6 linked regions of the Bombyx mori genome follow. The protein of the gene in region 5 purifies or fractionates together with the protein of the main gene of each other region. This does not show direct contact. Links are inferred from orthologs where the notes say so. Each region holds a gene or a part of one and is shown on either strand. Other genes may lie near its edges. The genes, in order: SWI/SNF-related matrix-associated actin-dependent regulator of chromatin subfamily B member 1-A, brahma-associated protein of 60 kDa, protein polybromo-1, SWI/SNF-related matrix-associated actin-dependent regulator of chromatin subfamily E member 1, ATP-dependent helicase brm and actin-like protein 6A.

Evidence for each region.
Region 1: the proteins of ATP-dependent helicase brm (region 5) and SWI/SNF-related matrix-associated actin-dependent regulator of chromatin subfamily B member 1-A purify together in Drosophila melanogaster (affinity purification with western blotting; 7 studies listed by BioGRID, with this or other methods). This does not show direct contact. The link is inferred for Bombyx mori from reciprocal best matches to the Drosophila melanogaster genes brm and Snr1.
Region 2: the proteins of ATP-dependent helicase brm (region 5) and brahma-associated protein of 60 kDa purify together in Drosophila melanogaster (affinity purification with western blotting; 8 studies listed by BioGRID, with this or other methods). This does not show direct contact. The link is inferred for Bombyx mori from reciprocal best matches to the Drosophila melanogaster genes brm and Bap60.
Region 3: the proteins of ATP-dependent helicase brm (region 5) and protein polybromo-1 purify together in Drosophila melanogaster (affinity purification with western blotting; 3 studies listed by BioGRID, with this or other methods). This does not show direct contact. The link is inferred for Bombyx mori from reciprocal best matches to the Drosophila melanogaster genes brm and polybromo.
Region 4: the proteins of ATP-dependent helicase brm (region 5) and SWI/SNF-related matrix-associated actin-dependent regulator of chromatin subfamily E member 1 purify together in Drosophila melanogaster (affinity purification with western blotting; 6 studies listed by BioGRID, with this or other methods). This does not show direct contact. The link is inferred for Bombyx mori from reciprocal best matches to the Drosophila melanogaster genes brm and Bap111.
Region 6: the proteins of ATP-dependent helicase brm (region 5) and actin-like protein 6A purify together in Drosophila melanogaster (affinity purification with western blotting; 7 studies listed by BioGRID, with this or other methods). This does not show direct contact. The link is inferred for Bombyx mori from reciprocal best matches to the Drosophila melanogaster genes brm and Bap55.

The regions. Positions count from the first base shown.
Region 1 is NC_085122.1:12,050,477-12,056,338, reverse strand, and holds the start of SWI/SNF-related matrix-associated actin-dependent regulator of chromatin subfamily B member 1-A, read left to right. Parts: upstream 1-2,335; 5' UTR 2,336-2,510; coding exon 2,511-2,591; intron 2,592-3,659; coding exon 3,660-3,850; intron 3,851-4,305; coding exon 4,306-4,468; intron 4,469-4,759; coding exon 4,760-4,907; intron 4,908-5,624; coding exon 5,625-5,836; intron 5,837-5,862. Other genes in the region: putative tricarboxylate transport protein, mitochondrial, read right to left, coding at 787-985.
Region 2 is NC_085116.1:238,254-243,867, reverse strand, and holds the start of brahma-associated protein of 60 kDa, read left to right. Parts: upstream 1-1,758; 5' UTR 1,759-1,961; coding exon 1,962-2,108; intron 2,109-5,485; coding exon 5,486-5,614. UniProt on the Drosophila melanogaster protein: Involved in the recruitment and site-specific anchoring of the Brahma complex at specific promoter sites.
Region 3 is NC_085132.1:4,583,132-4,588,233, forward strand, and holds part of protein polybromo-1, read right to left. Parts: intron 4,200-5,102; coding exon 4,060-4,199; intron 2,838-4,059; coding exon 2,735-2,837; coding exon of another isoform or gene 2,734-2,734; intron 2,186-2,733; coding exon 2,144-2,185; intron 1,202-2,143; coding exon of another isoform or gene 1,185-1,201; coding exon 1,001-1,184; intron 188-1,000; coding exon 96-187; intron 1-95.
Region 4 is NC_085120.1:6,515,591-6,520,692, reverse strand, and holds part of SWI/SNF-related matrix-associated actin-dependent regulator of chromatin subfamily E member 1, read left to right. Parts: intron 1-698; coding exon 699-839; intron 840-1,491; coding exon 1,492-1,623; intron 1,624-2,714; coding exon 2,715-2,892; intron 2,893-3,817; coding exon 3,818-3,943; intron 3,944-4,326; coding exon 4,327-4,404; intron 4,405-5,058; coding exon 5,059-5,102.
Region 5 is NC_085121.1:5,478,109-5,483,210, forward strand, and holds part of ATP-dependent helicase brm, read left to right. Parts: intron 1-173; coding exon 174-429; intron 430-1,099; coding exon 1,100-1,183; intron 1,184-1,308; coding exon 1,309-1,397; intron 1,398-1,970; coding exon 1,971-2,109; intron 2,110-2,271; coding exon 2,272-2,461; intron 2,462-2,811; coding exon 2,812-2,950; intron 2,951-3,032; coding exon 3,033-3,207; intron 3,208-3,445; coding exon 3,446-3,553; intron 3,554-3,834; coding exon 3,835-3,955; intron 3,956-4,728; coding exon 4,729-4,861; intron 4,862-5,102. UniProt on the Drosophila melanogaster protein: Transcriptional regulator. Acts as a coactivator, assisting one or more dedicated transcriptional activators of ANTC and BXC homeotic gene clusters. Can counteract the repressive effect of Polycomb protein.
Region 6 is NC_085108.1:7,027,922-7,033,553, reverse strand, and holds the start of actin-like protein 6A, read right to left. Parts: upstream 3,624-5,632; 5' UTR 3,485-3,623; coding exon 3,283-3,484; intron 1,686-3,282; coding exon 1,534-1,685; intron 936-1,533; coding exon 709-935; intron 1-708.

The sequences.
Region 1 (5,862 bases), on a different chromosome or scaffold from region 5:
TGTACATTTTACATTAACAAAATATCATGATGATATAATAATAATTCATATAGTCAAAATCAATTAAATATGCATTATTGGGGATAGCTTAAAAACTGCTGATCAGATCTTGAGAAAATTTAAATGTGACCACATAATACAGCTTTCAAATAAGACAATCGGTTCACTCGGAATAAAGTTATGACATAACATTTATAAAACAATCAAATTGAGAACCTCTTTTTTTTTGAAGTTGGTTTAAAAAGAGAAAAAATTAGGAAAAACTTTTACTTTTGGTAATAGAACTTGTTAGTTAATTTGATACTGAATACTTTGCAACTTCAATCTAAGCAATTATTTTCTCATTTGTAAAATATTCCTTTCAAAACATGATTTAAGTATTTAAGTAACTAATAAATAATAATCGATTAAGTAGTAGTAGTATACCTATATCGTAGTTAAGGCAGAAGAAATTCAATGCTAATTTAGAATAACCTTGAAGATATTAGAAAAAAGAACAAAGTCCATTTCCAGTTGTTTACACAGTAAAATGTACTTGTAATGGAAACCTTTGGTTTTAAATTTTAAGGTTAAAAAAGACGTTGATTAGTTACAACTTGAATTCCTGTGCTAAAGAACCCTTTATTCATAATTATTCAACTACAGATTTACGCTACAGCAGGAAAATTACGTATGACGTATATACAAAATCATAAGACAAAAATAAAATTTGAATGAATTTATGAATTGAAAAACACCAATTAGTTAACTAACTTAGTTCGGATAATTGTGGCGTGCTTTATTTACCTTTTTCATCCAATTGCAGTTGTGTTTTTACATATTCTGTTGGGAATGTAATACAAATTTCAATGCCTCCTGTAATTCCGCCGGCTACAACTCCCTTTAAGCCTACTGAACCCGAACCACCAGCCGCAGCCGCTGCACCTGTCTCCGACATCCACGGTCTGGAGAATGGGTTTTTGAATGTTCCTTGCCGTGAAGACATGGTCTCTTTTTTCGAGCACTTTTGAAATTCGCAACGACTGCGACGACACTCCCCTACGACATTTAATTTCAGACTAAAAATTTAGGTTATATTAGTTATATACAATCATACTCTATGCTAACAATATGTGTTTGTGTATAGTCTATGAACTAAATTACTTTTTGGCGGGAACGCGAGGAGTGAAGTTGTGTGATTTGTTTTATTTTGTCTATTTAGTGTTTCTTCAGGTTTAAATGTGTAATAACGGTGGTTTATTAACTGTTTAATATCTGTGAAAGTGCACAAATGTGGGAAAATGAAACAAAGCTGCTGGACGTAACTTCTCGGGTTCCTCCAAAAAGTCCACTGAAAAAATCTCAGTAAATGACCACCATTTTACTGCGATTATATTTCATCCCATATCATCTCATTTCATTAAATTCATCCCAGTTGATTAATGTCTCAAATTAATCATCTTCATTTCATTTCACTCCATATTATCATTTTTCATAAAATTAAGACTATAAAGTAAAATAAGACATGACTTAAAGGTCTTAGTTACCAGGTCATAAAATCTCTTAAAAAAAAAAAAATCAATTAAAATAGGACTTTTTGGCGGGAACGCGAGGAGTGAAGTTGTGTGATTTGTTTTATTTTGTCTATTTAGTGTTTCTTCAGGTTTAAATGTGTAATAACGGTGGTTTATTAACTGTTTAATATCTGTGAAAGTGCACAAATGTGGGAAAATGAAACAAAGCTGCTGGACGTAACTTCTCGGGTCCCTCCAAAAAGTCCATTGAAAAAATCTCAGTAAATGACCACCATTTTACTACGATTGTATTTCATCCCATATCATCTCATTTCATTAAATTTCATCCCAGTTGATTAATGTCTCAAATTAATCATCTTCATTTCATTTCACTCCATATTATCATTTTTCATAAAATTAAGAATATAAAGTAAAATAAGACATGACTTAAAGGTCTTAGATACCAGGTCATAAAATCTCTTAAAAAAAATCAAATAAAATGTTTTTTTATTTTATGACTTGGTAGCCTAGACCTTTAAGTCATTATCTTATTTTAATCTTCTTATTCTAATTTATATCTTATTATAATTTATATTCTTATTTTTATGAAAACTGATAATATGGAGTGAAATGAAATGAAATGAAATGAAGATGTCAAGAATGTCTCAAATTAATTTAAATTAATATTTGAGACATATATTAAAGGGATCAACTGGGATGAAATTAAAGGAAATAAGATGAGACGGGATGAAATATAATCTCAGTAAAATGATGGTCATTCACTGAGATTTTTTCAGTGGACTTTTGGGTGAATCCCAAGAAGTTACGTCCAGTAGCTTTCCAAAATAATATATGACTTAAAGGTGTACGTTACCAGGTCATAAAATTAAAAAAATAATTGGATACATATATACATATTCACAGAAACGATTTATAAATTTTACCCTTACCAAATTAACATTACAATTCTTGAAGTAAATGTAATTATTTTATCAAAGGAACAACACAACTACAAAAATGGCCTTACGTACGTACGGCGATAAGCCGATAAGTTTTCAAATCGAAGAAGGAGGAGACTTTTATTGTGTTGGCTCAGAGGTAAGTTCCATACATTTCTTGATTAAAAATACATCGAACTACTCGAAACATAATTTTAAAGATACGTTATTAAAAATTATTTCATTCACTAACGGAGCTAGTCTTTCTTTTGTCGAAGAACATCGTTCCTAACCTCAATCTGGTCTATTATACAAACTTGCCTTTTAGAATTATTCTTATTTCGATGAGGCTTGGTTTCCATTACTGTAAAGCAGACTATAGTTTATTGTCCATCAAAGTATAAGATAAAAAATAGAACAATAGGTCTATATCACCCTTATGAAAATGGAATACAAATTTTGGAGATAAAATAACTAAGGAATTTCTGTAGAAGGCAAAACTGAGCTGTAATAATTATGTTGCCCTTTAATGACAATTCTTTAAAACTCATTTTCTTAGCAATAATCGAGTAAGTAATCCAGTAAACAGATCCATATTTAACAAAATCCCAAATACATATACATGTACAATAACATCATTAGCTAAGAAACCTAAGATTTTAGTTAAAGAGATACAAATCATGAAAGTTTACCAGTCCATTTTAACTACTGGCTTAAGATACCATACTGTACTTTTTATCTTTTTTCTGTATCTAGTTGCATAATTCAGTGTTCATGTGAAGTTTCTCACTATAATCTTCTATTCTACAGTAGAACTTTCTAAAGCGCCATTATGAATTATATTGAATAAGTAAACGACAGTGATTGCTTGCAGTGCAAATTAAAACAAGTTGTGGCACCCAATGCTGTTTCTGCTCTTATTTTTTTAGATGAGCAATGATGTATTTTCTTCAGTGTTTCTGAATTGTATAAAAAAAGGTCTAATTTCATATTTATTATATTCATTTCATTATCATTTTTCATGGCATATTAACACTGTTCTAACTACTGTAAATTGTTATGACAAAAAATTTAAATGATTAAACAATAACAGTGGTTTTAATTAAAAGCAATGCAAAATTATATTGTGGTGTCGAAAACAGCAGTTTTAACTTGAGATTTCCAGATTTTGTATTTTGATTAGTCTTATGCCCGCTTAAAAATGCAAAAAAATTAACTATTGCCTTAGGTCGGGAATTACCTGCGCTTGTTCCGTGGGTCACTCTACAAGAAGTACCCTGGCATGTGCCGGCGTACCCTCACCAATGAAGAACGTAAGCGATTAATTGACAACGGTCTTGGTCCTCATGTGCTGTCCAGTTCAGTTTCACTGTTGAAGGCGTCAGAAGTTGAAGACATTATTGAAGGGAATGATGATAAGTACGTCATTATAAACATTTTGTGAACTATTGAAAGCGGTTAAAACCGACAATTGCTGTGTTAGCATAGACAGGTGAACGAGTTCATAATCCATCTGATGATAAGTGAAGCTACCTGAAGTAGTCAGTCGAAATATTAGACCTTTAAGTTTTGGTGAGCACCTGGCACTATTGAAGTCCACGAACGACATTAACCACTTACCATCAGAAGAATTGTATGTTTGTCTTATTTTAAGGACAATAAAAAAAAAAACAAAATGTGTGCATATCTTTCTTCTTCATCGCTCCCTCATTGCTGAGGATTGTGACTCTGTTTCAGCTGTGCCAGTCTCCATCGGTTCTGGTCAGTTGCTGTGTGCATATCAAGGAAATCTTAAATACTATGAATTGTATATGAAACAGCAGTTGTCCATTAAACTATTTACAGCTATGACACAGCTTTAAATTAATTTATAGATACAAAGCAGTGTCCGTCAGCCAAGAGTTGGCGACACCCCGTGAGAGCAAAAGCAAGAAGCCACACACTCCATCATGGCTGCCAGTCATGCCAAACTCTTCTCATTTGGATGCTGTACCCCAGGCTACTCCAATCAGCAGGAGTAGGGTGCATAATAAGAAGGTAAAATGGATGTTAAAGTCAAAACTTAAAGTCCAGTTGGGCTTCAGGTTCTGACTCCTAGGTTTATCTAGTTAATCATGTTTGACATGGGGCCACACTCTAAGGTCAACACAACACATTTAATTTAGCTTCTGATTCAGGATAGATAGATAAGATAGATAGAATATCTCAAAATCAGAGACACATCGTAAGATAAATAACAGATTTTGAAATGGAACATTGGAATTAATGTAATATACTATAGTTCTAAAGTATCATTATTAAAACTAGCATAAAATGAATACTTTTCAGGTGAGAACATTCCCACTGTGTTTCGATGACACAGACATGACTGCAATGCTGGAGAATGCTTCGCAAAAGCAGGTGCTTGTACCGATTCGATTGGACATGGAGATTGAGGGTCAAAAACTCAGGGATACATTTACATGGAATAAAAATGGTATGTTTAACTGCATTTGTTACCAATTCTGGTTGTTTATTCTCAATTTTTGATTTCAGAAAGTATTTGAATAATAGAATGTGTAATTGCTGTCTACCAAATTATAAATAGATTGGCTGTATTTACTGTGAATTGTATCGACTGTCAATTGAAAATATATAATAACATTTTCTTATATCTTTAACTATAACTATTCTTTATAAAGTTCTTTAATCATGCTTAATGAAAATTGTTGGTCTGCAGTAAGTGTTGAAGATCAGGAGGACCTTGTCCAACTGTCTTGGATCACAGAACAGTTCCAATGCGCCCTGCAAATTTGGTTAAAATATTTTTAATGTTTTATCGTTTTCATTCTATATTGTTCTTTTAGCACAACCCTTACATAAATTTAGGAATACGCTCCTTAATTTTTATATCCATAATGTGTATGTTCCCACTTTTTTTTCCTGCCTAAGCTGATAGCCTTGAGAGGCTATATCAGCGTTGCCTTAACTAGTAGGTGAGCTCACGGGGCTCAAACGTGATGACGTTGTTAACACGAACGCTAGCAAGAGCCGTGTGCTTCGCAGAATCTACCACCAGATCGGAAACGCGACCCACTGAGAAGATCCGGCGAGAAACTCAGTGGGCTGTGTCTGAGGCTTTTTCTCACAAGGATTGCAGGCAGCCTATTAACAAGTTTTTGAATAAATAAAAAATTGGAGGATTGTTTTCCAGAATCAATAATAACACCAGAACAGTTTGCCGAGGTGCTGTGCGATGATTTAGAGTTGAACACGAGCACCTTCATACCTGCTGTGGCCTCCTCGATCCGGCAACAGATCGATGCCTTCCCGAGCGAGCCTCCCCCCATACTGGAGGAGCATACCGACCAGAGGGTCCTCGTCAAACTCAATATACACGTTGGAAACACTTCGTTGGTAGATCAGGTAGGTTCAAGTTACAAAGAAAACTC
Region 2 (5,614 bases), on a different chromosome or scaffold from region 5:
CGTCCAGGGCCCAGAGCTCCCGCCTGACTGCACACTGTGTAAAGCAGATCTCCGGCAAAGAGCTATCACACTGGAGGATGTTCGGTGGTGTGGCACCCCCGTCATCCATAGTCGAGTTCGAGGCGAAGAGTTTGACCAGAGGATCAGCCTTCTGTTTCGCACTATGGGCCAGACTGTCGGACTTGCGTAGTGATGGGAGACTAGACCTGCTGAATTTACCTTCTGCTTATCGGACTTGCGTAGTGATGGGAGACTAGAACTGCAGAAGTTACCTTCTGCAGCCTTAGCGAGCGACCAGAAAGCACGGTTCCCGGCGGAATATCTCTTCAGTCGCTCGCCAATTCTTTTCACTGAACTTCATACTTGACGAAAACATGTAAATGTATTATTGTATAGCAGCTGTCACGCGGATGCATCGCTCACTCAAGCAGGAGTGTTTACTGAAGCTAGTACGCGTCAAAATGTTAATACTTCCTCCCACGATGTGTGCCTTGAAACATGAAGTGTAAGACTTAATTGCAAAATCGTATAATATAGAGGGTGACCTAAGATTCAAACCGGAACGTATGACTTCTTTGCGACAGAAATAGTGAAGACTTCTAATATTGCCTACTATCACAGTTGGCGTTGTTATATTAAAAAGTGGCACCCATAATACCTACCTCTTTTACACGTCCTTACGGATCCATCGGATCCAATAACCCTTGCATTAGACGCCTTGTGCTCTAACACTAGGGGTAGAGACTCCGATAACCGTACACGTCGAATTCGGCAAAGAGTTCGACGTGCAACCTAAACATCAGCCCGTTGAGTTTCTCGCCGGATCTTCTCAGCGGGTCGCGATTCCGATCCGGTAGTAGATTCATTCGCGAAGCAGTAGCTACTTTTGAGTTTTTAGGTCTCCCTTAGAGGCGCTCAAGTAGCTGTTAGCAAATTCCGTCCTTTCGGGCTGATACATTGCTCGCCCACCTGTCCTTGTGAAACTGGAAATGTCTCCGGGCCACCAGTACTTCCACAATCATAAAAAAAACTTTCTTTTAATATCATAGCATCTGCGTAAAATTTCCTGCTGATTGTAAACAACCTTTACTGGTGGTAGGACCTCATGTAAGTCCGCACGGGTAGGTACCACCACCCTGCCTATTTCTGCCGTGAAGCAGTAATGCGTTGCGGATTGAAGGGTGGGGCAGCCGTTATAACTATACTGATACCTCAGAACTTATATCTCAAGGTGGGTGGCGCATGTATGTTGTAGACATCTACAACATAAATGCGCCACCCACTTAACCACTTAGTACCAGGTGGACTGTGAGCTCATTCACCTACATTTGACTCCAACACTCAATTAGAAATTAAATCCTAGATAGGTCGGGTTGGCAGAAGGCGTCTTAGACCCCGCGTTTCATCATTGCGACCGTAAGTTTGCAAAAGCACCACCGTGAAGTCCACCTAGACTATTTACTTAGAAACACTGCGTCGTTTTTTTGTTAATTCAACAACTTAAGCTTACTCATGATTTTTTAACGTTTAACATCTGTGAAAGTATTAGTTTTCTCATAGTTGTGCAACTATGAGAAAATTAAACAAAATAGTTAAACCTTTCTTCTTAGGCTCTTTTAAAAAGTTAATTAGTTTATTCAGGAAATTCATTAATATTCATTCATCATTTCATTAATAACATAATAATATCTGACTTCCAAAAAATTTAACTTTATTTCGGACTTGGTTACAAATACTCTGGCTGTATGGATTATGTTTCTTTTGCCTAATTTATCTATACTGTGACGCTGCGCCAGATATTTTGTTTCTTCAAACATCTTTTAACTATTTGTGTTCGTCTCAATTTATCTGTCTTCTTACATATAAAACAATACGAATAATCAATATCTTCACGAATTTTTATATGAATCAGTGTATGAGTTGAGATTGTAAATGTTACCTTGTGGTTAAATTAACAAAAAATGGCTCAGCGTTTCCCAGTAAGTGGTCCAGGTGGATCTCCCGGTGGTACTCCAGGAAATTTACCGCCCCAACAAAGATACGCAGGGCCGCAGCCGCCGTCTGCCTCGCCGCTACCACCCCGACCCTACCCAGGACCTAACTTTCCAGTGAGTGTCCCAGTCAAATGTCAAAACTTAGGTATGTGCAAAATTTGTTGCTCTATTTAAACAACTATTGTTTTACAATGGTTTACATACTGCAACAAACTTTGCACAGAAGCTTCGAAATAAGAAAAAAAGGTCACTGGTGCATGTTTTTGACATTCCAATGGCAACTATATTCTCTAAACAAAATACTGAGACTGGGTTTTCACCGTCCACGGGTAGGCAGCGACATTATTAGTAACGTAGTTTGTAGTACAATACTCAATAAATTATTCGATTATTTAATCACTATTGAAGTAATGTTCACTTTATTTTAAAATTACCCTATGTGGGTAATTTGTGGTAAAACCCACACCGTTTGATGTGACATTAAAATTTTGCTACAAAAATTTGATAACTTCAAGTACAGTAGATCCTCTATAAGTTAAAGACCAATGGAAATGTTAAATATTTTGAGTTATTGAGGTTTTACTTACAGAGGTTCGTTTATGAGCTTTGTTTAGGATTTATAGAGATAGCTAGGTTAAATGCAAATGTAACTTTGAAATGTTAATACATATGTACATACATACATTATTTTACGGTTAAAGGCTAAAAGTTAGGTTAAACTTTTACTAAAGTTTGTTTTATTCTATATAAGTTGTTTTAATTTATATTACTATGTATAAAGTTGTTTTCGTTATTTCATTTAATTCACTCTTTAAATTAATTTTATTTTCAATATTAAATAAAGAGGAGAAAATGTCATCCTCTGTGTTAAAGAATTGATCTGTAAAAATCATAAAGCGTTTACAGCTGGCCTTGCTTCGCTTATAGATATAATCACAGGTGGATCTTGTGGCTCGTCATTTAAATCATATCATCACTCTGAGCACCATGAATAATGGTATATTTTTTTTCTTATGTTCACATTCCCTACATGTACCCTAACATACAGGGAACCATTTCTGTTTGCACATTCATCTACAATGACTCATGACATGGACATAGGTAAGATTGAAGTTACAAAGGTCATCGTAGCTACAGCTTTGAGATACTGAGGTGTGACACCGAAATTATTAGTTTTAGTTATAGATGTTTCATATTTTAATTAGAAGAGGTTTAGGACTGAGGGGAAGGGAATACAAAATATTATGAATTAACAGAGGTTATTATGTTGTTGAGGTTTAAGCTATCAAAGTTCTATTGTATTTAACAAAATAAAATAAGTAAGTAAGTAAAAAAGTAAGTGTGCTCTATCATGCTGAAGTGTTGCTGAAGTGGGTTCATTCATTGAAAGAAAACGGCAGCTGAAGCACAACGAGAGTTCCAATAACTTTACAAAGACCTTGCTCTGAGCCAAATAATGTGAGGTGATTAGCTTCATCACTTCAAAGATTCAGGGATTTCAAGCTCACAACAGCCTACGTGAAGAAAAAACAAAAACTTTCAAAGATGCTGAACGGGAGGATCTTTCTCGAGAAGGATCCGTGCCAAATGGGATATCAGCTCGCTTGAGCTTTAGAAATTAGTCTCCAAGCCATTTCCAAATAATTGTATGGATTAGGAATGATTCAAAAACAAGTTACTTGGGTTTCTTATGAGTCGAAGTCAAGAGATCTTGTGTCCCTTATTCGCCTGTAATACAAATGGAAGAGTTTCCCTCATTGAATCGTGATGGATGATTTAAAATTGTAAAATTGTTGTTTAAAACTTAGTAAGGTCCCCTTATAGACTTGAAAGTTGTTTCAAGATTTATTTGTTATCCCCAGACTTCACTTAAATGATCTTCATAACATTAAATGTGCTCTTTTGACAGTACGAATTATGTAGAAATGAAGATGATTATCATTATTATTGTGGGCATATCATTTAACTTCATATACAATTTTTTTTTCCTTTAATTATTTATATTTTATGCACAAAACAAAAGTTGTACACAGGCGGATTTGATGCCATAGGCATTCTCTTCCAGTCGACCATAGGATGGTGCAGAGATAATGCATGGTAGGTGCATTAACAAAAGAATAACAAACAACAACAACAAAACAAAAAAAAAAGAACAAACTCAAAACAAAAATCTTCCTTAAAGTAACATCTCAGTATTATAGAATACACATAATGTTAAATATAAGTACTTTTCCATAAATAAAGTCAAGATTGTATGCATTGTCTGAAGTTCATATTACTAGTTCACTGAATACAGTTCTGAGACTAGTTATGATTGTATTTTATAAGTAGATATAGATTAATTCTGATTGATTTGAGCAACTTCATTGTAGTCTTCAAAATACTGGATGTGGTTTCACATTATGCGTCAGGTTGTGTTTCATGTAATTCCATTACCTATTTTCTTCCATTACAACAATAAGTCTATCCAGATTTTACTACAAGCAATTGAAAAAACTTAAATTCTTGGACCTGTTGTTTAAGTTATGTAGCTAGTTTGAGTAGTTGTGGTACTTGACTTAGGCCAGAATTACAGTCACCTTTTTTGTAGCGATTTTAATAACCTGTGACTCAAAATAATAGGTTGGGGAAAAAGTTTCTTCGCATGTTTTAAGAAAATTCACAACATTTCATAATATAATTTATTTACATTTAACTAAAGTATGTAGGTACCAGTTTGTTCGATAACTTTTTGCCAACTTGTAGGTAGGGACATGATCCCATTGCTATAGAAATTTTGGGGCTTCTGATCAAAATACCGCGACAATTGGTTTTGGCCTAAAGAGTTCTGAAGAGACCGAAACAGGTGGAAATCGGAAGGTGCAAGGTCAAGACCATACGGCAGAAGCATTAACATCTCCAAGCTCTCTTAATTTTTGCTGAGTGGCTAAAGATGTGTGAGGTCTAGCGTTATCATGATAAAAAACCACAGCCCTTCTGTTGACGAATTCCGGCCGCTTTCTCTCTACTTCTTGCTTTAATCTCTTCAGTTGTTCGCAGTAGAGCTTAGAATCGATGGTCCTGCCTTGTGGTAACAACTCATAATGAATAATGCCCTTCCAATCCCACCACACAAAATGCATTACCTTGTTGCGAGCTACACCGTGTTTCGCCACAGTCTGTTAAGCCTGACCGGCCTTTGCCGAAATATCAAGCTTTTTCGTGTACCCAGTTTTTTTTCAAATGCGCCAAACCTGTTTTGTGGTCAATTCCCAGTTTTTCAGCTACGTCGTAACTACTGATAAGCCGATCTTGCTCCATTTTTTTTAAAAATGGCATCCATTTGATCTGTAATAGGGCGACCAGAGTGACGTGCATCTTTGACATCAAAAATTCCGGATTGAAAACGCTTAAACCAAATTTGTGCTACTCTGACAGACACTGCACAAGGTCCATAAACATCGCAATTTTTTTTACAAACTGCAATGCTAACAAGATCAAATTGTCAACAGGCACGCAGCGGATTCGGCGGCGGCGGCGTAGTGGCAGGAGGGGGCGCGCGAGCGGCGGGGGGTGCGGCCTATGGCGGCGGCCCCCGCCCCGCGCCGCCCTCGCCCTCCCCCGTGGCGCCCCCCTCCGCC
Region 3 (5,102 bases), on a different chromosome or scaffold from region 5:
GCTATCGAGAACGTTAAAAAGCTCGCACTAAGCACACTGTTCGGTTAGTGTGCGTGGAGCGCCGGTCCCGTTTGTTAGTACGTCAGCATGCGAACCTTGGCTATTACTACTGCTATTTGTACCTCCGGGGGACATGACGCCGCTCCGCACCGCCGGCCGCGGCTTCTTCGATGACAGCATGAAATTCCTAAATCAAAAAATTATTAATTTATTATAAGTTTTTTTTTGTAAGCGGTACATATTTGCTTTGTCATCGAAGTTCGACCGTAATCACTGGCATCTAAGATATACTTTCGTTTTACTTGCTTTGTTACTTACAGTTTTTATTGTAAGGTTCATTAAAAAAAAATGTTCCCAAATGTGTTATAGTAAAAAAAAATTGAAAATCTGTTCAAAAATCGAAAGTGAAAACTGATTTTGTTTGTGTAACAGCTTGTCCGTGAGGTCCGGTTTATTTATTCATCTTCATCAAAACATATTGCGCCAGCTTGAACGAAAATGTTCTACGAGACTGACAACTTCTCGGTACATTGCGGGTTCACTGTATAAAATCATAATAATAATAATAACATGATAAATAATGAATCAAAGATAAAAATTTTGGATGATCAAAAGCTTCTGAAGTTTGTGGACGCGATCACGCAAACGCTGCGTTAAGAACGTGAAGCTAAATCTAAGGCCGGACATTGCGGTGGTATATATCGAGGGGTGAAAAGCTAGAAAGGTGCTTTAAGCGACCTTTTAGCAACTTCACAGGGGAGCCATTTAAAGTTTAAAATATCATAATAAAAATTTAGTTGCAGACTATGGGAGAGGCTCACACCGAGCAGTGGAGAGATACAGGCTGATGATGAAGCGAAATGTTGCTTTAACTAAATAGACTTTCGCCTCTCGATATATGTGCGTGTGTGTGTGCATGTGTGTGAGTGCATGTGTGTGTGTGTGTTTGTTTGTTTGTGTGCGCGCGCGCGTGCTCGTGCGTGTGTGCGTGCGTGCGTACCTGGAGCGTTCATGCACGGCCATGAGTCGTCCGTTGCCCTTGTTGACGTGCAGGTCGCGCACGTGTCGCAGCAGGCGCGGCAGGTTGGGGAAGGGCGCCTGCCCCTTGCGCACGCGCGCGCAGTTCCGCCACAGACAGGGGTACTCGCTGAACGAGCCGCGGTAGTGTTGCTGGATGTGCCCCGCTGCGTTCACGCATGTTCCCGGCGGACCACATTGTGGACGTTCATTAACAACGCCGCACTCGGGCCCCGGGGCCGCACCGAATCATCGACAAATTTCGACGACTTCATACGTAATAAATACTACTGTTTTCGTTTGCACGTTAATCGTCGAATATTTGTCGAATGTTTTCAATGCAGTCCCGTATGTTACAAATTACTTTAAACTTTAAATAAATTACGTTGAAGTTGTTTTGATCGACACAAAAAAAGGATTTTGTTATTATATATTGTACTATTTAAAATTTTAACATATCGTCGTTGTAAGCCAAAATCTGCTATGTGCACTTTTCGTATAGTTCACAGCCCTGTCTACCGTATAAGAAAAACTGTTATGTGTCTATAGCTTTAATACTTCATCTATAGCTTTCATTTGATAGAGTTCATAAAAATTCACCTTCATATAAAAATTTCATACGAAAATGTTTTTTTTACTCGTTAATTCAAAATAGAGTTTTTACACATAGCAGATTTTGGTTTGACAACGACGTTATTCTGATTAGGTACTATTAATTAATCTAAACTTTGCTCGTAATAAAATAAAAACTAATTTTTTCTAAGCAAATTTGAGTCGACTATTATCAAAGCCGGCAATGTGACTTTTGGACAATTATTGGTAAATCAGAAAAACGAATTATTGACTTTGTATTCCATTGGTAGTCACAAAACTCTTCCGAACGACATCTTAGATAAATAACAGGTTAACTATTAACCTTTATTTAATGCAGATTTTGAACCGTATTCTTTGAAGGAGACGATTATATTCAAATCAATCTGTATTGACATATCAATAACATTTTTTTGTCCAAATGCACAGATTGCCACCTTTGATAATAGACGACTCATTTATAAAATTTAGCTGCACATTTTTAGAGTTGTGTAGTTGAGTATCACCGTTCCAACGATTTCAACTTGATACTTACGCTCTAGTTTAGGTCTTTTCGGTTCTAGATACGTTCCGATCACTGGCAGCGTTTTAAAGTACGAACAAAAAACACATTAGCAAAAGTCTATCTAGCTCCCATACGAGAACGCAAGTTGAGTCAGAGAATAAAATAAACTTTTAATACTGAATTTAAGACATACAATACAAACAGAGTGAGTAGCATAGAAACAAACAAAAAAAAAAGGGTGCGTGTGCTTATGTAAGAAGTTATACTTCATTTTTATTAAAATTATTTCTTTTTTTTTTTAAATATTCAATGATTAATAATAAATATTTAACGTTAATAATTTAATAATATTTAGTATGAATTATATGAAATAATTTTGTATATGTGTAGAAGTATAACTTCAAAAATTATATCATTTGTTTCGCCTTGTGATGGGAGATCAAAGTCTAAATTACTTCCTATTAATTTTAAAATCCCTTAATTTACTTGACGGAATGACTGTAATGAATAGACATGATATTTCGAGAAGAATCTACTCGAATTTCTTAGAAGTGTTTTTTTTTAAGCCTAAGCACTTTTCAAAGCTTCCAAATGAAATGTGTAAAATGTAAAGATATTTACTGTTTCCTCCGTCGCCGATGCAGTGCTCCATGCAGTCGGTCAGGTCCTCGAACTGACAGTCGCACGTGTCCCAGGCGCATTCGTACGTCATCTCCATTGTTGTCTAAAAATATTAATACATTCACTAAATTAATGTCTATGTTTTCATTAAAGTATATTGCATAACGCTGACCATTTTATGACTGGTTCTTCTTTGACAATCAAGTGTTAAGGTGCGAGCTTGAAAACCTCTACAGTGGTCTGTCTGTTATAAGAATCATGCACGTTCCGGGAGTGTGCTTACTTTTTTTTTTAAGTGAAACTTCTAATGTGACTTCCAACAAGGTTGCGTTAAACGTTTAACTCTGCCATGGAATAGAAAGAGACAGAGCGAGAGTGAATGCGTGTCACTCGAGCGCAAGCGCATAGTATTCCTGTTACAACGAGTAGCGTCCAATATTTTAATGAAGTATTTAAAAATATATATATTTATTTTTCTATCTATAATTTAAAATATATATAATATAAGTGTTGAAGATGACGTATCTTTTATACACAGCCTTCTCTATTACAAGAGCAATCTGATTTAAGGATGAAAACCACATTACTACACATCAAAAAAGAAGTTTCACTTCATTCACGTGCACGGTTTTTTTTTGTTTTTTTTTTAAGACATGGATCACTTGTAGCCCGGGTGCCTTTCCAGTTTCAACAGGGTTGTGTTTACTCAGTACCGCCGATTCGGGGCCAATGTTATAGTCATCGAGATTCGTCATCATTGATATGATCATACCCGATCCTGTGGACCGAATGGTAAACAGTCGACGTCGCCCTAAGCACGTCATTACGGATCCTCCCGATCCAGTAACGGTGCTTTTAGATACTTCAAGTACGGGTCACCGTCCTCGCCGAACCCGTCGCTTGCAACGAAGGGCTCGATGAGTAAATTAACCCATAGACATAGCCCACTGTGAATCTAGAATAACTCCTCGAGGTTTCTAGAATAGGTAGGAAAAAAAGTGTGTGACTGACTATCCCACTACACAGGAGCATACATATGGACAATGTTTAGTAGACGATAGTGGGGATACTACGAAGAGTCGCAAAAAGAGGAGACCGACAACATCTAATGTGTTCTATCTCATTCTCTCGCCGGCTGAATCCTATACATTTATGTGTTTGTGTCTCTATGGACTTATTTTTTCGTTTCATCGAGTTTGAAATCGCAACGATCCTAAAGAAGTTTCACTTCGAAATAGATATGATTGTAGAATGGCATTTCTTGTCGTTAGAGGACGATGCAAAAGGTATTTGGGTCGCTGTTTGGCGGTTGTTTGGGCACTAACGTGTTGCGCCAACTCGCGCATCTCGTCGGCGAGCCTGGCGGCGGTCTCCTCGTTGCAGCGCGCGGCTCGCTCCTCCCAGCTCTGCTTGGTGGCGGCGGGCAGCGAGCGCCACTCGTTGCCCACGATGCGCGATATGTCGCCTGGCGGAATCATTCAAAGCGAGCCTTAGCCCAGACGTACCTTCGTGTTAGGGTTGCGCGACATAATCTTTCTCGTGCCTTCTCTTTCTGCGGTCCGGTTCGGGGGAGCGTAAAAAATTAACGAGAGAAATTATGTCACGGTTCATATTATTAATCGTTTTTTTTTTTCAAAACTACGTAACGAAAAATTGTTTTTAATATACAATGCTATCTACTAAATTTTAAATGCGGCATACATTAATTAGTTCGCGCTAATTTAGAAAAGAAAATTAACCGTCTAGATTAGTTTTTTTTCTTTCTAAATGACCATGACAAGACTTGAAGTATATAACTAAATTTCATATTGGTTAACAACTCGAAACGTAAAATCGTAACAAACAAACAAACAATCTTTAACGTTTACAATTATTTGTCACACGCGAAATCAAAAATAGAACAGTTCCTCCGAATCAAGCACGAATGAAAAATCCTGTATATTTTTATTAATTTTGCTCATTAATTATGCGGAATCACTAAAATTGTATGCGTAGTCCTAATGTATCAACTACACAAGGATCAAGTCAACAAAAAAGTTGTTTAAAAATAAAACAAATCAAGAGCCAATATTAAATTAATTTAACAATATACGTTTTAAGTAAATAATATAATTTAGCAGTGGGTGAGGTATAGCACCAGCCCGTGTGTTATCATAAGGCGACTAATTAGTATTATACGAACATACTGAGGCCGCCTAGGCAGGACGTATTATAAACTCACACGGGCAAGTCTAGTATCGTCATCTTGCCTATTCCAACCATGTAGGGTTATACAATTTAGCCTAAACATAACCTCATGTATTATTATATTTTTTAATGGGTTTTATGACCTGGTAACTAAGACCTTTAGGTCAATTCTTATTTTAAT
Region 4 (5,102 bases), on a different chromosome or scaffold from region 5:
TGCGCATCGAATGTGGTTATTGCCTATCATTTATGTAAAAAGCAGTTATTGTCGGTTAGTCACGTTTGCCTTTCAAGCGTCGATATGCGATTGGTCATAAGAAAACTGACCCCTTTTAATTTGTGTGTACGAGTACTTCGTCTATACTATGAACAAGCTTGGGAACTAAGATACATATTGAAAAAACGCACTTGGTTGACAAAATAGTAAGGGGGAAAACGCTGCAGCATCCATGTACCAAACGACAAGCGAAAAATTTTTAATCTACGGAAAGAGACCGGAGAAGTATAACATCTCTACAAGAACTCTTAAAAACAAAATCCAACAATAAGTTTGTCAACAAATGCTGTTTATACCAAGATTAAATTAATTTTAAAGTTCATTCAAAGTGTAAAAGCTTATTTTGATATGTGCCTTCTTGTAGTGTCAGAGACTTAGAGAGTAGCTTGGAATACTTCATTGTATTGTAACATATGAGTATAAATGTAATAAAATATAGCTATATTGTAACTATACTTGAGACCTTAGATCTTGTATCTCAAGGTGGTGGCGCATTTACGTTGTGAATGACTATGGAATCCAGTAACCACTTAACACCAGGTGGGCTGTGAGCTCGTCCATCCATCTAAGCAATAAATAAAAAAATTGCTACGTATAAATGAAAAAACATATCACAATAACTAAATTATGACTCACAGATATTGAAAAAACAAGTGCAGTCCTTAACGATGCACCAGAAGAAGCTGGAAGATGAATTGCAACAGATTGAAGAGAAGTTCGAAGCCAAGAAACGCAAGTTTATTGAGAGCAGCGAAGCATTCCAAGAGGAACTCAAGAAGGTACCTAGGATTTATTTCAAAAATCGATTTTATCATTATGTATGTTTAAATTTTTCAAGCATCACTTAGATATTATAGTACTTAAGTATTATCCCATATACCATTCTTAAAGTCCCTAATGGAAATCTAAGCAAGTATGAACTGTTACCATTATGCAGTCTCCGAAGTAATTTTGTAATCTTTCCCAGTTTGTGGGGTTGGGACAGTTTGAAAGTTTGACCTCCATGTCTACGTCCATTGATAATATCAGCGTGTAAGCACTTACCCATGTTAGCTAGTTATTAAAAAATAGTAAAAAGTAGTTTTTTACTGATGGTAGGATCTCTTGTGAGTCCGCACGGCTAGTTACCGCTGCCCTGCTTATTTCTGCCACGAAGCAGTAATGCGTTTCGGCTTGAAGGGAGGGGCAGCCGTTGTAACTATACTTGAGACCTTAGAACTTATATCTCAAAGCTTGTGGCGAATTTACGTTTTAGATGTTTATGGGCTCCAGTAACCACTTAACACCAGGTGGGCTGTGAGCTCGTCCACACGTCAAAGCAATAAAAAAAAAAGGAAACTAGTAATTTTGTCTTATTTAATGTGAATTTATTAAATGCTCCGGTATTCATTTTAGTTTTGGAAAATGAAATAATGTTAATATTTTTTCCAGCACTGCAGGCCGGCTGTGGACGAGGACACATTCCAGCGCATGGTGGAGCGAGCTCTGGAGCAGATGCGTCGCGGGATCAACCCCACCTCGCAGTCGCTCAGCGCCGTCGCTCACGCCGAGAAGAAAGACGAGGTATGCTTCATTCGAAAATTGATTGATCGATTGAAAAATCTTTATTGCACAAAAACATTATACAAAGGCGAACTTAACGGCAGACAGGCATTCTCTTCCAGTTAACCCTCGTTGATGAAGTGAGGTGCTTTTAGGTACCCCAAGCACCGCTCACCGTTCTCGTCGAACCCGTCGCGACGTGTTCGGGTTCGACGAGTAAATTAACCCTCAGACACAGCCCACTGAGTTTCTCGCCGGATCTTCTTAGTGGTTCGGGTTTCCGATCCGGTGGTAGATTCTGCGAAGCACGGCTCTTGCTAGGGTTCGTGTTAGCAACGTCGTCAGGTTTGAGCCCCGTGAGCTCACCACTAGTTAAGGTTCCGCTGATATAGCCTCTCAAGGCTATCTGCTTAGGTAGGAAAAAAAAAAGATGAAGTGAAAGATTCAAGAAGTGCATAGCTGTGATAAAGTTAATACATAGCGATAATTTAAAGCACTAGTAGACATGAGTGAAAATAAATATTTATAATTACTTTTCCAAAATAAATAAATACATAGATAAGAAATACATATAAAATAAAATAAATTATTATATATCAATCAGTGTTTTGAAAAAGAGATAATGTACTATCGCTTTCAAAATACCTATCGACTGAACATGCTTCACGGAAATATATGTAATAAGTATAATATACAACAAACATTTTTCCCTGCAAAGTCTACTGATTTACCAAATAATATTATTTGCCAAAAGGACTTTAGAACATACATTATTATCCAACATTTTTAAATTTTATTTTAATGTATTTTTTATTTTATTTTAATGTATTTTTTATTTTATTTTTAAGCAAAGGCTTGGCTCTGCCCCTGACATTGCTGACGTCCATTAGGGATGGTAACCGCTTACCATCAGGTGGGCCGTATGCTCACTGCATGCAAAGGCAATAAAAAAATTATTAAAAACTTGTCTTTGTTAACTCAAAAAACAATGTAAAATAGATCCCCATAGAGAGGTGGTACCCATCATTTTACAACATTTGCAACAATGTAAATAAATATAAAACTATGTCTTATTTGTTAAAGAATAATAAATAAATAAAATTGATACACAGCCGATGGACCAAGATCAAAATCCAAGTAAACCAGAAACAAACGGACCTCATCCTCCCACTCAAGTGGATAAAGTGTCTACCAGTGACGTGAAGCCTGATTCCATAGCAACTGACATAAAAGTCGAGGAGCCAAGAGAAAAGGAACCTGAAAATGGACCAAGCCAGGCAGATGACGAGGGTGAGACTGAAAACATAATAATAAGAAACTATACTAAATACTGTTACAGATCGACACCGCACAACATGTAATATTAGTTTAAGAATACACAAAATAATTGAAACTTTTAGGGGGCTTTTATACTACAAGATCCTACAAGATGTTCAGTTATTAACTAAACATAGTGTGTAAAATTTTAAATTATTAAGTCAATAATTATTTATCATACAGTATGATGTAGGCAGGATTCTGTTCCAAACTGTTTCGTTTAATATTTTATTTGTAATTTTTATAAAAAAATGTAAATGTCCTTGTAAAAGAGAAAAACAAAAAAATGAGTTATGGTACTTTAAAAAAAATGATTGATGGAATATTGTAAATCAAATTCGAAGTGTTTATATTCAAGACTAGCGACCCGCCCTCGCTTCGCTTCGGAAACATTAAAACACACATGAAACCAAAAAAAATATTAAAAAAAAAATAAAAAAAAGTAGCCTATGTTCATCAGGGACAATGTCGGCTTCTAATGGAAAAAGAATTTTTCAAATCGGTCCAGTAGTTTCGGAGCCTATTCGAAACAAACAAACAAACAAATCTTTCCTCTTTATAATATTAGTATAGATAGGTCTTTACAAGTACTTTCTATTGTCATAACTTTACCACCAATTATCGCGCAGTGTTTTTTGGCCGAATCTTCCCAGGACTATCCTAGTGATAAGACCTTTTATCTTTGACATTCAGCAATCATATGTTTTGATGACATTTAAATTGTAATAAATTGTTTAAATATTGAGTTCACACACACACAGTCACACATACACCCAATATTCCACGACATTTGACTACTGTAGAGTACCAATATTTTTTTGTTTCAAAAACATTGAGATACTTGGTTAAGGACGGGGTAGGGAGTGATTAAAAAATGTAAAGTATTTTTTATGTGCAGGAGATCGTAAAGAAGAAAAACCAGTAGAGGTAAAAATGGAGAACAAGGAAAGCATTCCACCCGCTCCCGCCCCGCAGCATCCCCCGCCCGCGCACCCTCCGCACATGACCTCGCCTCCACACCACGGTAACTAATTTTCACACGAAAAACTCGAAAATGTTGATGTTCTATTGTTAAACCACTGATTTTGTTATTAACTACTAGCTGATCCGGCAGACTTCGTAGTGCCTCAATTGATAAATAAAAGACCTAAGCTTTTGTATAAAATAAACTTAAAAAAAAACAAAAGGAAACTGTCAGACGGGGACACATGGAAGCAAAAACAAAATGTTTGTTTTAATATAATTCCGAGCATTTTCATGTTTATTCACCTTTTAAACCTTCTCTGGACTTCCACAAATAATTCAAGACCAAAATTAGCCAAATCGGTCCAGCTGATCTCGAGTTTTAGCGAGACTAGCGGACAGAAATTCATTTTTATATTATTAATAACTATACGTTTAATACAGCAATGATGATGGCGTCGAATCCTACAACTGCTCCGCATCCTGGCCCGCCAGCTCACGGGGGTCCTCCACCGCCAACAGGTGCCATATTGTACTATAAACTCACTCGTGACTAACATATTCTCACATCAATCGAGCACTTTGGTCGCTGTCCATTCTCACGTCTTTCTATCATCACGGTGTAAATATGGTATTCACATTTATAAGGGAGTTTTAATGCGCACAAATATATTGCGGGTAGCACTCTGGAGTCACAGCTGTGGTTCATAAAACATGCTTCATGATGATGGTCGTTTGTCTTAACGGTATGCAATGGAAAAGCTAATCTGAATTGTTCTTAAGAAACCAATGGTGCTATACAAATTTCGTAGATACAAGAGACAACAAATATCATGAGTATTCGTAATGTTCATAGAAACATTAATTTAAAATTTAGGTTTGCTCGATGAACCAAATAATCTATAATAGTTTTCAGTGATTTACTAATTAATATGCCTTGTATCTATGTTTTATTAAAAATATTATACAAATAAAATAGATATGTCAGTATTATGGACGACTAATAGTGGGCACTCATTTTTTTCTAAAAAACTGAAGGATATTTCATTTAATAGAAAATCACACAAGATCGGTCGGATGCTAGGTTAAAATCTCAGATAAAGAACGTTGTGAGCCACACTAAGACTGGTGTAATCGGAGTCGTGTTATCACAATAAGTATGAAATGTACGCGCAGTGGGGGCGTACGGCGCCCCGTACGGCGGCCGGTACTACGGCGGG
Region 5 (5,102 bases):
GTTTTAAAGATCATCATACATAGGATATAGGGACAGATGAAGCGACTTTGTTTTATACTATGTAGTGATAATAGTTAAATATTGATTGAGTTTGATTCATCCCAACGAATTGATTTAGTTGAACTATTTGTTAAGTAATATGCTTTCAATCATAATAATTTGGTTGGTCGCAGAGCACAGATTTCGGCGTATCGGAATCTCGCCAGAAATCAACCCTTGCCGCCGCAAGTGGCCGCCTTAGCTACGGGCAAACGTACCGGCGAGAGTCCTCCGGAGTGTCCGACCCCGCCCGCGAGCGGCGCGTACGGCGAGGCGCAGGGCGCGGCGGGCAAGCCTCCCGCTGCGCACGGCGGCGCGCCTCCCACCCCGCTGCCCATGACTGGACAAATGGCTCCACCTACACAGCACACGCCCCCCCTTGTTAATCCGGTAAGTAATTATATTCATGTTTCATCACTTGAATTCTGGAATGGAAAATATTTTTTTATTATAAATAAATACTAGCTTTTGTCCGCGACTTCGTCCGCGTGGAATAGTTACTTTGGCATAACGCTAAATATTACCCGTCTCTTCATTTACGTAGAAAGTGAAAATATTTTTGAATAATAGAATGTTAAGGAGCTAGCTATTTAAGGTACCAAAATCATGCTTTTTAACCGATTTCAAAAGAGGAAGTTATTAATTCGACCATATTTTTTTATCTATGTAAAAAATGATGCATAAAAAACGCTATAGTGAGCCAATCTTAATATATAGACATAATATGCTGTCGCGGACTTTTTTTAGATCTTTTAAAGGGGAACAATTTTTTCAGACATTATTTTAGCGAAACTTTAACCGTTTCCGCAGCGCAAGCAGTGGAAGCTCTCAAAAGGGAAAAAACCCCTTTATTGGTGCTCCGCTTGCATTGGTCTTAGCGTGATGTTATATAGTCTATAGCCTTCCTCGATAAATGGGCTATCTAACACTGAAATAATTTTTCAAATCAGACCAGTCGTTCCTGAGATTAGCGCGCTCAAACAAACAAACCCTTCAGCTTTATAATATTAGTATAGATAAACAAACGTAATACAATCTAATTATGATATATCTGTCGTAGCCGGTGGGTGGAGTGCCGCTTCGTGGCCCCGCGCCATTGCGTCCCTCGGCTCCTGGAGCTCCCGGGACTCCACAAACGCAGCAGGTGAGTTTTATTTATAATTCTCCATGAGCAGACTATTTTACTTCTGTAACTCACGTCAAAATTACTTCACATTCGTATCGTAATGCCCATGGTGAAATTACTTGAGATAAAAATCTTTTGTCTAGCTACCTGGAGCCAAACAAAATCGTGTGACCACCATGCCCAAACCTGTCGGAATCGACCCCGTGCAGATATTGAACGAAAGAGAAAACAGGTAACATGAAAGCAAGAAACTTATTACAAATCGATGCCTCCAATGAACACTACTCTAACTCAAAATTTTGAAATTTTCGTTTTTCACGCAAATCGCTTCACTATGTTAAAAGTATTACAATTAATCATTATTAATGGGGTTCGAAGCAAGAGTAAATCAGCTAGCTACACAAAAAAAACCATAAATATATCTGCAATAATAAAGATTTTATCAACTTTTTTCGTTTAAATGCTCCTCCTGTAAATCTACGAATTTGGAGTTAGCGTAGTCTTCATTGGAGGCATCGAAATGGTACACACAATAGTAGATGCAACAAACGTGATCGTTGTTCGTCACGTCAAGTCGTGATCGTGACGTGAACGACTATTATATGTATGTATGTATGTATATGTCATTGTGTGTATATATATGTTTTGTGTATGTATTTGTAGCTTAATATAAATTTCATTGCACCTACCACTATTTACTCTGCACTACCTTTGGTTGACTGGTAGAGAATGACTTAAGCATTAAGTTCGCCAATGTAAATTTTACATGAAGTGTAATAAATAAATAAATAATTAAAATTTTCAGGATTGCAGCACGAATAGCTCATCGTATAGAAATATTATCAAACCTACCCGCCAATATGCCTGACGACCTTCGGTTACAAGCTCAAATCGAGCTCAGAGCACTCCGAGTGATTAATTTCCAAAAGCAATTGCGTTCAGAGGTGTGTTTTACTTCATTGTAATTTCCCGTACATCCGCCTCACAGTGTCTTATAAGTGTGATAAGAAAACCTTGATTATATTGTAGTAGCGTGCAAACACAGAAAAAAACGTTGATATTCGCCTTTAATAGTGTGCCTTTAATTTTGATCAAAATTGTTCTAGATATTAGGTCAAGTCCGCCGTGATACAACCCTAGAGACCGCTGTAAACATAAAGGCCTATAAGCGCACTAAACGACAAGGTTTGCGAGAGGCCCGAGCCACTGAGAAACTTGAGAAACAACAAAAACTGGAGGCCGAGAGGAAACGACGACAGAAGCACCAAGAATTCCTACAAACAGTTCTTCAGCACGGTAAATGTTTTATTACATTGTTATAATAGTACTATACAGTTTGTAACTATTTATGTTCTATGAGTTGCATCTAAATTTGTAGGGTTTCATTTCGTAGTTAAATAAAAAAATAAATGTATGTTTGTGTCCACATTTAAGATTCATTTTATTTAGGAGTTTATGTATTTTAGTGAGATTTGTAATGTACCTACGTTTATTTTCTTAAAATCGATCTTTTATCAGCCTATTACTTATAGTTGTACTAAAAAAAAGTTTTTTTTTTATCTCGTTACGATGACGAGAGTCGATATTTAAAATAGTATTCTAAATAAAATAATTAATTATTAATTTTGAACACTATTGTATTGTAGTTAAGGATTTCAAGGAATATCACCGTAACAACCTAGCTAAAACAGCACGCATCAATAAATCAATCATGAACTATCACGCTAACGCCGAACGAGAACAGAAGAAAGAACAGGAACGCATAGAAAAAGAGCGCATGCGGCGGTTAGTATTTTAACTAAGACATACAAATAAGTGATTACAAATTTCCGAAACATGCCTATTTAAACACTTTTTGTCATAACAGGTTAATGGCAGAAGACGAAGAAGGTTACCGTAAACTGATCGATCAAAAGAAAGACAAAAGATTGGCGTTCTTATTGTCACAGACTGATGAGTATATAGCCAGCCTTACCGAGATGGTCAAGCAGCACAAGCAAGAGCAACGTAAAAAACAACAAGAAGAGGAACGGAGGAAGAGGGTAATTACTTTTTTATACTATTATCTTCTAATGTAAGCGGTAGGCAGCGGCTTGGCTTTGCCCTTGGCATTGCTGAGGTCCATGGGCGACGGTAACCATTCACCATCAGGTGGGCCGTATGCTCATCTGCCTACTAGGACAATAAAAAAAAATGTGTATATTGAAACTATAGGTTATATATCAAGAAACTATAGACAAATAAGTATTTTCTTTAGTAAAATTTTGCTTGTAATTGCAGAAATCAAGAAAGAAGAAGTTGCTGGAAGGTGGAGAGATTGACGCTTTGGATGACAGCTCCCAGACTTCAGACTCAAGAGTCAGCGTCGTGGATCCTAAGTCTGGCGAAGTAAAAATATCATTTTAAATCTCCCGTCATATTTCATTTTATAAATGCTAAGCTTACAATTGTTTTATAAAACAATTTTACAATCTTACAATTGTTTTAAAGAAGTTACACCCAAACAAACTTGTACTAAAAACATAATTTGTTCACCTATTTAATGAGAAACACTAATATATGAAATATTTAAGAGAAGAATAAATTGTAAACAACCAGTAAAAATTATAATATGTTTAATATTACAACTTCTCTTGAACAGACTTAATTTTCCATTGAATACTTCGTAGATACTGAAGGGCGAAGATGCGCCGCTGCTGTCTCAATTAAAGGATTGGATGGAGACACACCCTGGATGGGAAGTAATGTCTGATTCCGATGATTCTGGTGACGACAGCCAAGACGATGATGGTATGATATTATTTTATAGTATTTATTATGTTCATTGTTGTGGCCTAAAATATATGTAGCGATCTCGGAGGGGAGTGCTGTAGCGAGTCTGAGTGCGGCCCTGCGCTGAGTACGGCCCTGCGCTGGAGCATCGCACTATATATAATATTCGTCGGTACTCCCAAAATGTTTTTTAATTCGGTTGAGTTCGAGACAAAACATACGCTGGTGGTCCGCTATTAACATTTCTATTTGATCGCTCTTTAATTAAATATAAAATTGTAATTAGTGGTATCATTTCACTGCAACAAAACCATAGTTGGTACCACAGATGTGATGATGTCTGGTGTACTCGTATCAAGTGATGCTACTATATTGGCATTGAAATCCCGCAGACAAGTACCCATTTTAAAAGATATACATAGGTACTTGCTCACGAAAGAATGTATTGATCGAGGAATACACTGTGTAATGAAACTGAATAGGTGGTAGGTACCTAACCTTACGGACGTTCAATCTGTCCTTCCACGTGTATTTATCCGCAAGCATTAGCTACTAATTATGTTACAATAAAAAACTAAATATCTTAGGTATGTAAGCTGTGTGTGGTCACAGTGGTCAACTTCACAAAAAAATTGTCTTCTACAAGCAAAATTTTATATACTAAATTCAATCCTATTTATAATAGTAATATGAGATGAAAAGTAGTTAGGTTATGTAACATCATTCATTGTACTGAAATCATGTAAAAGTAGAGTAAGCAGCAACAATAATGTAGTACTATTAATTTATAGAAAAGAGAAAAGACAGGCACAGAGACGACAGGGGCGATCGCGAGAAAACCGACGAAGAGAAAGCGCGAGATATGATTAAAAAGGCCAAAGTCGAGGACGATGAATATAAAACTGAGGAACAGACCTACTACAGGTATGTTTTCAGTTACTGAATTATCTACAATATATTATTAAAAAAAAAAAACTAAACCAATCACATTAATTAATTTTACGTGTTTGTTGTAAGTCGCCACAAGTACGTAACGCCCTATTGAGTATTTTTGCCGCGAAACAAACATGACTTTTGCCTTAAAGGGTAAATTAACCTTTTTTCAAAACAATATAAGTTTGGCAGTGACAAAGACCATTGTATCTGTTCATGAAGCTATTACGAG
Region 6 (5,632 bases), on a different chromosome or scaffold from region 5:
GACGGACAAGCGTGCGAGCTCACAATGCCTAACACCAATTAATTGATACACAAAAAATTCTCGGATTCTAATTTTCTTTTCACGATAATTTCTTTTCAATTCTACCGTGGAAATAGCCAGCAAGACACGGAACAATATACATGCATAGCGTGACATAAAATTATGTTTAATTACTCTATTAGATGGATATTTGGAATCACAACTTGAAAATATATTATTGGATTGCAATCTAAATGGTATGTGCACTCAGCAAACCCGTATTAATGTACATAGCTTTGGCTATTGAAAACAAAATTACAAATAAAAATTAATAATTACAAATAAAAATAAAATTAGGAGTACCAGAAAAACAAAAAAAAAAGATATGGTATCCTTAAAAGTAGACAACAATACCAAACCAACACAATCAATATATTGATAACTAGCCATTGTTAAATAGTTTTAATTAATTGATTTTTTTTCAAATTAATCAAAACACCCAATAGAATGCATCCATGATCAACCTATAAATTGTTTGACCCTGGATGACATCACACAGAGAAAAGTTGCTTGGGGTCAAGTCTTGTGGAGTGCGAGACAATTTTCTGTTTCGTATTTTTAAATGTCTTTATCCCTGGCTGTTGTCCATGAGTGACAGTGACCACATACCAACAGGATGATCCTAGTTTCGTTTTCCTTTCAAGACAACAAATAAGCGAAAAAATTCACCCATCGATAACAGGCACGGCTGATGTCTGTGTGGCTCCAGCGTCTATGACCAGAGCTGTAGATTTTCCATTTGCAAAGGCCACTAGGACAGCATTCTTGACCAGGAAGAAAGCTGGTGCTTGATACTTCTCGAATATGAGTTCGGCTAGCTTCTCCCTCACTGGCCGGGTGGCCCAGACTGCCTCAGTGAAGAGTACTGGATGGTGCTCTGATGGGGAGCGGATTACCTGCACAATCAAAAACCCTCATAACAAAACGAAATTTTATGTATGTTTGGCACCGGTCATGGGCTAATGAACTTAGGTCTTAAGTAATTTTTTACACATGCTTTTATTCGCTTGGGATGTATGTCCTGTTGTATGTAAAAAAAAACTTTGAATGTTGTTTCGACCAACTTCAAAATATCTGATTAATTTAAAAATTAGTGGATGCATTAAGGACCGGTGACCTAGTATTAATTTTATTACTATATATTTAATTAGACAAATATGAATCTGAAAGACATTAGGATTTACTGAATATACCTTGTCAGAGCATGGCATTGCCCTACTAAAACGTTGCAACAAAAGAAAAACCTAGAACTTAATTGAAGCACCATATCCAAAGAAGACTTGTGTCTCGAGGTGAGTGATGGCATTAACAACGTAGGTGTCTATGGGCTCCAGTATTGCTTAGATGGGTGGACAAGCTCACAGCCCACCTGGTGTTAAGTCGTTACTGGAGAAATAGGCAGGGCGGTGGTATCTACCCGCGCGGACTCACAAGAGGTCCTACCATCAGTTTGTTATTAATGATTAGTTAGTGTTCAGTGAAACAAAAAATTACCTTAGAATAACAATAATCAAGCATCTTCTCAAACAGATCCCAGTTGTCGACTTGTCCGTCTTTCATGTACGTCTGCACTTCCATTCCCGGACGCGGAACGTGGAGCTCTGTGACGTCTATGTAGTGTCGCAGCTCACTGCCCGTTTTACTGCCTGTTAAGGAAATAATAACATGTTATCTTGGGAATATAGAGCAGTGATTTCCCCTTGCCTTCTGCATCAGACATTAGACAGTATCCTTATTCTTCGGTTTCCTCAATACTGAAGATCACCTCCTTGCAAAAAGAATTTATTATGGACCATTCCACACCATTTACCTCTATCTGCCGCTGAGTGTAGAGCATCATGAGCTGTGGTGTTGAGGGTAGTGCGGATCTGGTCAGTCCCATGTGTCGGGCCTCTACCTCGTGGTCTTGTCACCATTAGCTTCTCCAAGCTGCCGTGATTCTTTATTGCAATGTTGCCAAAGTATTCCAGAAGTCTACGTAGGCAGACGGCAGAAAGCCTCGTCTTAGACAGTATAAAGAGGATAAATCATGGCAGTATACAGAAGGTCCACCTCACAGCAAACTGATCTTCATCGAAAGACTTCCATATCGGTGGTTGCATTCCCCAGTAATGAGGGAACAACGATGATAAAGAAAAAAAGGGAATAATTTTGACAACTGTTGATATTGCTCAATTCCAATTGTAATTTGTAAACAGATTTATAGTCTTAATGTTAAACACTTATTGAATTTAAAAATAAACTAGACCTCCAGTTCTGAAAATTGTCAAAATAAATACAGCAAACATTTATCAATTTGGTCAACTATGTTCAAAGAATATGATCACTGATTAAAAAAGATTTCAGTCCCAACTGTAACAGTAATTTAATGTTTGTTGCATAGAAATATTAGTATGAGTTTTTTTTTATTGCTTAGATGGGTGGACGAGCTCACAGCCCACCTGGTGTTAAATTTTTACTGGAGCCCTTAGACATCTATAACGTAAATGCACCACCCACCTTGAGATATTAGTTCTACAGTCTCAAGTATAGTTACAACGGCTACCCCACCCTTCAAACCAAAACGCATTACTGCTTCACAGCAGAAATATTCAAAAGGCCTGCTATTGATTATTGAAGAAAATACTTTTTTGTGGAAGTCTCACAGAATGTAGAGATCGTCACTAACCAAGGACTGTACCAGCCTTGAAACGTACATCAGTAAAAGTTGCTGATACATTTTGTAAATAATAATAGTACTAAAAATCTCAAAAATAGGCAATCCATTCTTATATATTTTTTTAAGTTTAATTATTTCATTTTGAATTAATAATATTTAATATCAATCATAGCCAATAGTGTCATGCTTTTGTATTGAATTTTGGATACATTTTTACAGATGGAGCTCTAAGGTGGATAACTAGCTTATATGCTTTTTTCTACATATCATACATGTATAAAATTGGATTCAGTTTCTTTGGCACAATTAAGTTACCAATTCTAATAAAACGCATGTTTGAAACGCGGGAATATCACACAAATCATGATCTTTTATTATTAATTATACAATTGATGAATTTTGTAAATTTTAAACACCAATAAATGAATGTTAGTTGGATATTTTATATAATATCTTAACAATTGAAAAGTTTTTTTTTCAATTTGTCAAAAACAATGAGTTTTGTGAAATGTATTCTGTTTGCAACCTCAAAAACAAGCTATAAACAACTACACTTCGGTGATGAACTTAATTTCAATACTCACCGGTTTGCGTGATGTTGCCATCAGGAACCTTTTCTTCGGAATTTGGGATGTGTGTAGCTGGTCCGACGCCCACAACTGCTGGTATATCAGCTTTTGGGGTATCCTCTTGTGCATAACCAACTCGCAACGAATGATGACCAGGATCAAAGACTAGTGCACCTATCTCGTCTCCCCCGTACAGCATGCCGTTCGGGCCACTCATAATATATTCTTTTATAATGCTATTGTAAAAATTTTATTTTCATTTAATTAAAAATAATAAACATACTATGTATTATTATCTATGAAATAAACGACAATGCCCAGCGCGTTTGTTGTTTCTTTTGACAGTTGTTTTTTTTATATATTTTGTCGCCTGGTAACGAGACCTTTAAGGGAGCCTTATTTTTTTTTAATTTGTTGTATGAAACATGAAATTAAGCGAATGAGATGAAGTTGATTATTTTGAGCATTTAATCGATTGAGATGAAATTAAATGAAACGAGATGATGTGGGATGAAATAAAGTCTCAGTAATTTGGTGGTTTTTTATTGAAACTTTTCAATATTTTCTAAATATTTTCAAAAAGTCCTTTGGCAGTTGAGTTTAGTTTTCAGGCAGACCAAAAATAGAATAAATGTATGAGTCACCTTAATTTTAATTATGTAGTAAAGCGGATATGTAGGGGACTAATATTTGAGTTCCTGTTCAATTTAGGACGTAACAAATGTAGTAGTAGTGGGATATGTTTTTATAATAAATCTTCCATTAAGGTAAAAATTCAAGAATAAGTACGGCTGAACGATGAAAAACAGTTAATAAGCAACAGCCACATATAATAACTAATATGAAACAATAAATTGTTGTTGTTAATGGGTTTTTAAGAATCGCAACTCTTCCCAAATAGGAATTTTTAATTTTTTTTTAAATAGGTAAGTATAAAAGAAATATGTATTAGAATCATTGTATGTTAAATCAACTCACAAAAATTAAAGAACAAGTAGATCAACATCTCATGACTTCAATGGCTTCCACAGTGAAGAATGATTGTGAAATAAAAATGAAACCCGAAAGTATTATAATTTGCCTAATCACCGGAGGTAGAGCATCTTGTGAGCCCACACTTAAAAAAAAATTGTTAAATATAATTTCATAATCACTAGCAACTTCGGGAGATTAGAACTTTGACCTTCCATCCTCACATTAAGATTCTGTGATGAAGAAGAGTCTACGATCGTACTGCGTTAAGTACAGGCTATTTGTCCATAGACTATAGAACGTCAAGCAGAATTAGCTCCATTAGTTTTGCCCTACTTATTCGCGGATAGCGTAAGACGTCCAGCTACTCGCAGACGGGTAGGTGAGCTCACGGGCTAGCAAAAGCGGTGCTTCGCAGAATCTACGAGCAGATCGCAATCGCGACCCACTGCGAAGGTCCGGAGAGAGACTCAGTGGGCATTCATTCGCAGTAAAGTGACACTTTATGGAACAAGCATTAGCCCCATCAAGACACATGCGAAGATGGTCTTTAGTCACGTAGCTAAGTATTTTTTTGGAATGGTAATATTACAGATAGTACAAAAACATAGACAGGACATATGGGCGACGCAAGGATTATATGACGAAGGGAAGATTCGCTACCAGCTACTGGAGCGCTCCCAGAGAAGGCCTCCTACGAGGTCCAATCAAAGCATGCTAATAAAAGACATCACATATAATTTGACACCACAGTTTATTAATTATGTTTTATGCGAAGTAATATTATTTTGGCTAAACATTCATTTTACATCGAACATGTAGTAGTATTAGAATATAAAATTATCAATTATTACTGCGATCACTACACACATAATACACGACAATTAGATCAATAATAAAACGTACATATTAAAAAAAAAGATTCACAAAATGTTATTAATAATTATGTTGTTTTTATCACAACGAGTACATAAGTAGGTACAAGAGATTCCAATTTGTTACACGCGATTACTTCCCCTCTTTTTTTAAAAGTCATAGACGATTTTGAAAGAGCATGAAAATCACGAATATTAACAGAAATATTTTTTTTATTTCTACATTTTACGTAGGATATAATTATTTCATTTGATAAAATTATAGAGACCAACGATTTACAATTATATTCGAAATTATTGATATGGACAATACTGATATACGGAAGTGTAAAACATAGAGTATCTAAAAAATAGATAGGAATCATTGCATACAAACATTTAAAAAAAACGAATGATAAATTGTTTTTTTTTTATTTCGAAGACACGGATTTTCGCCTGTGATGTGCTCTCAGCACTGTGGAATACGAATGACCATTGACAAGATAATCATTCATCATCCCATGTTTTGGCTTGAGCAA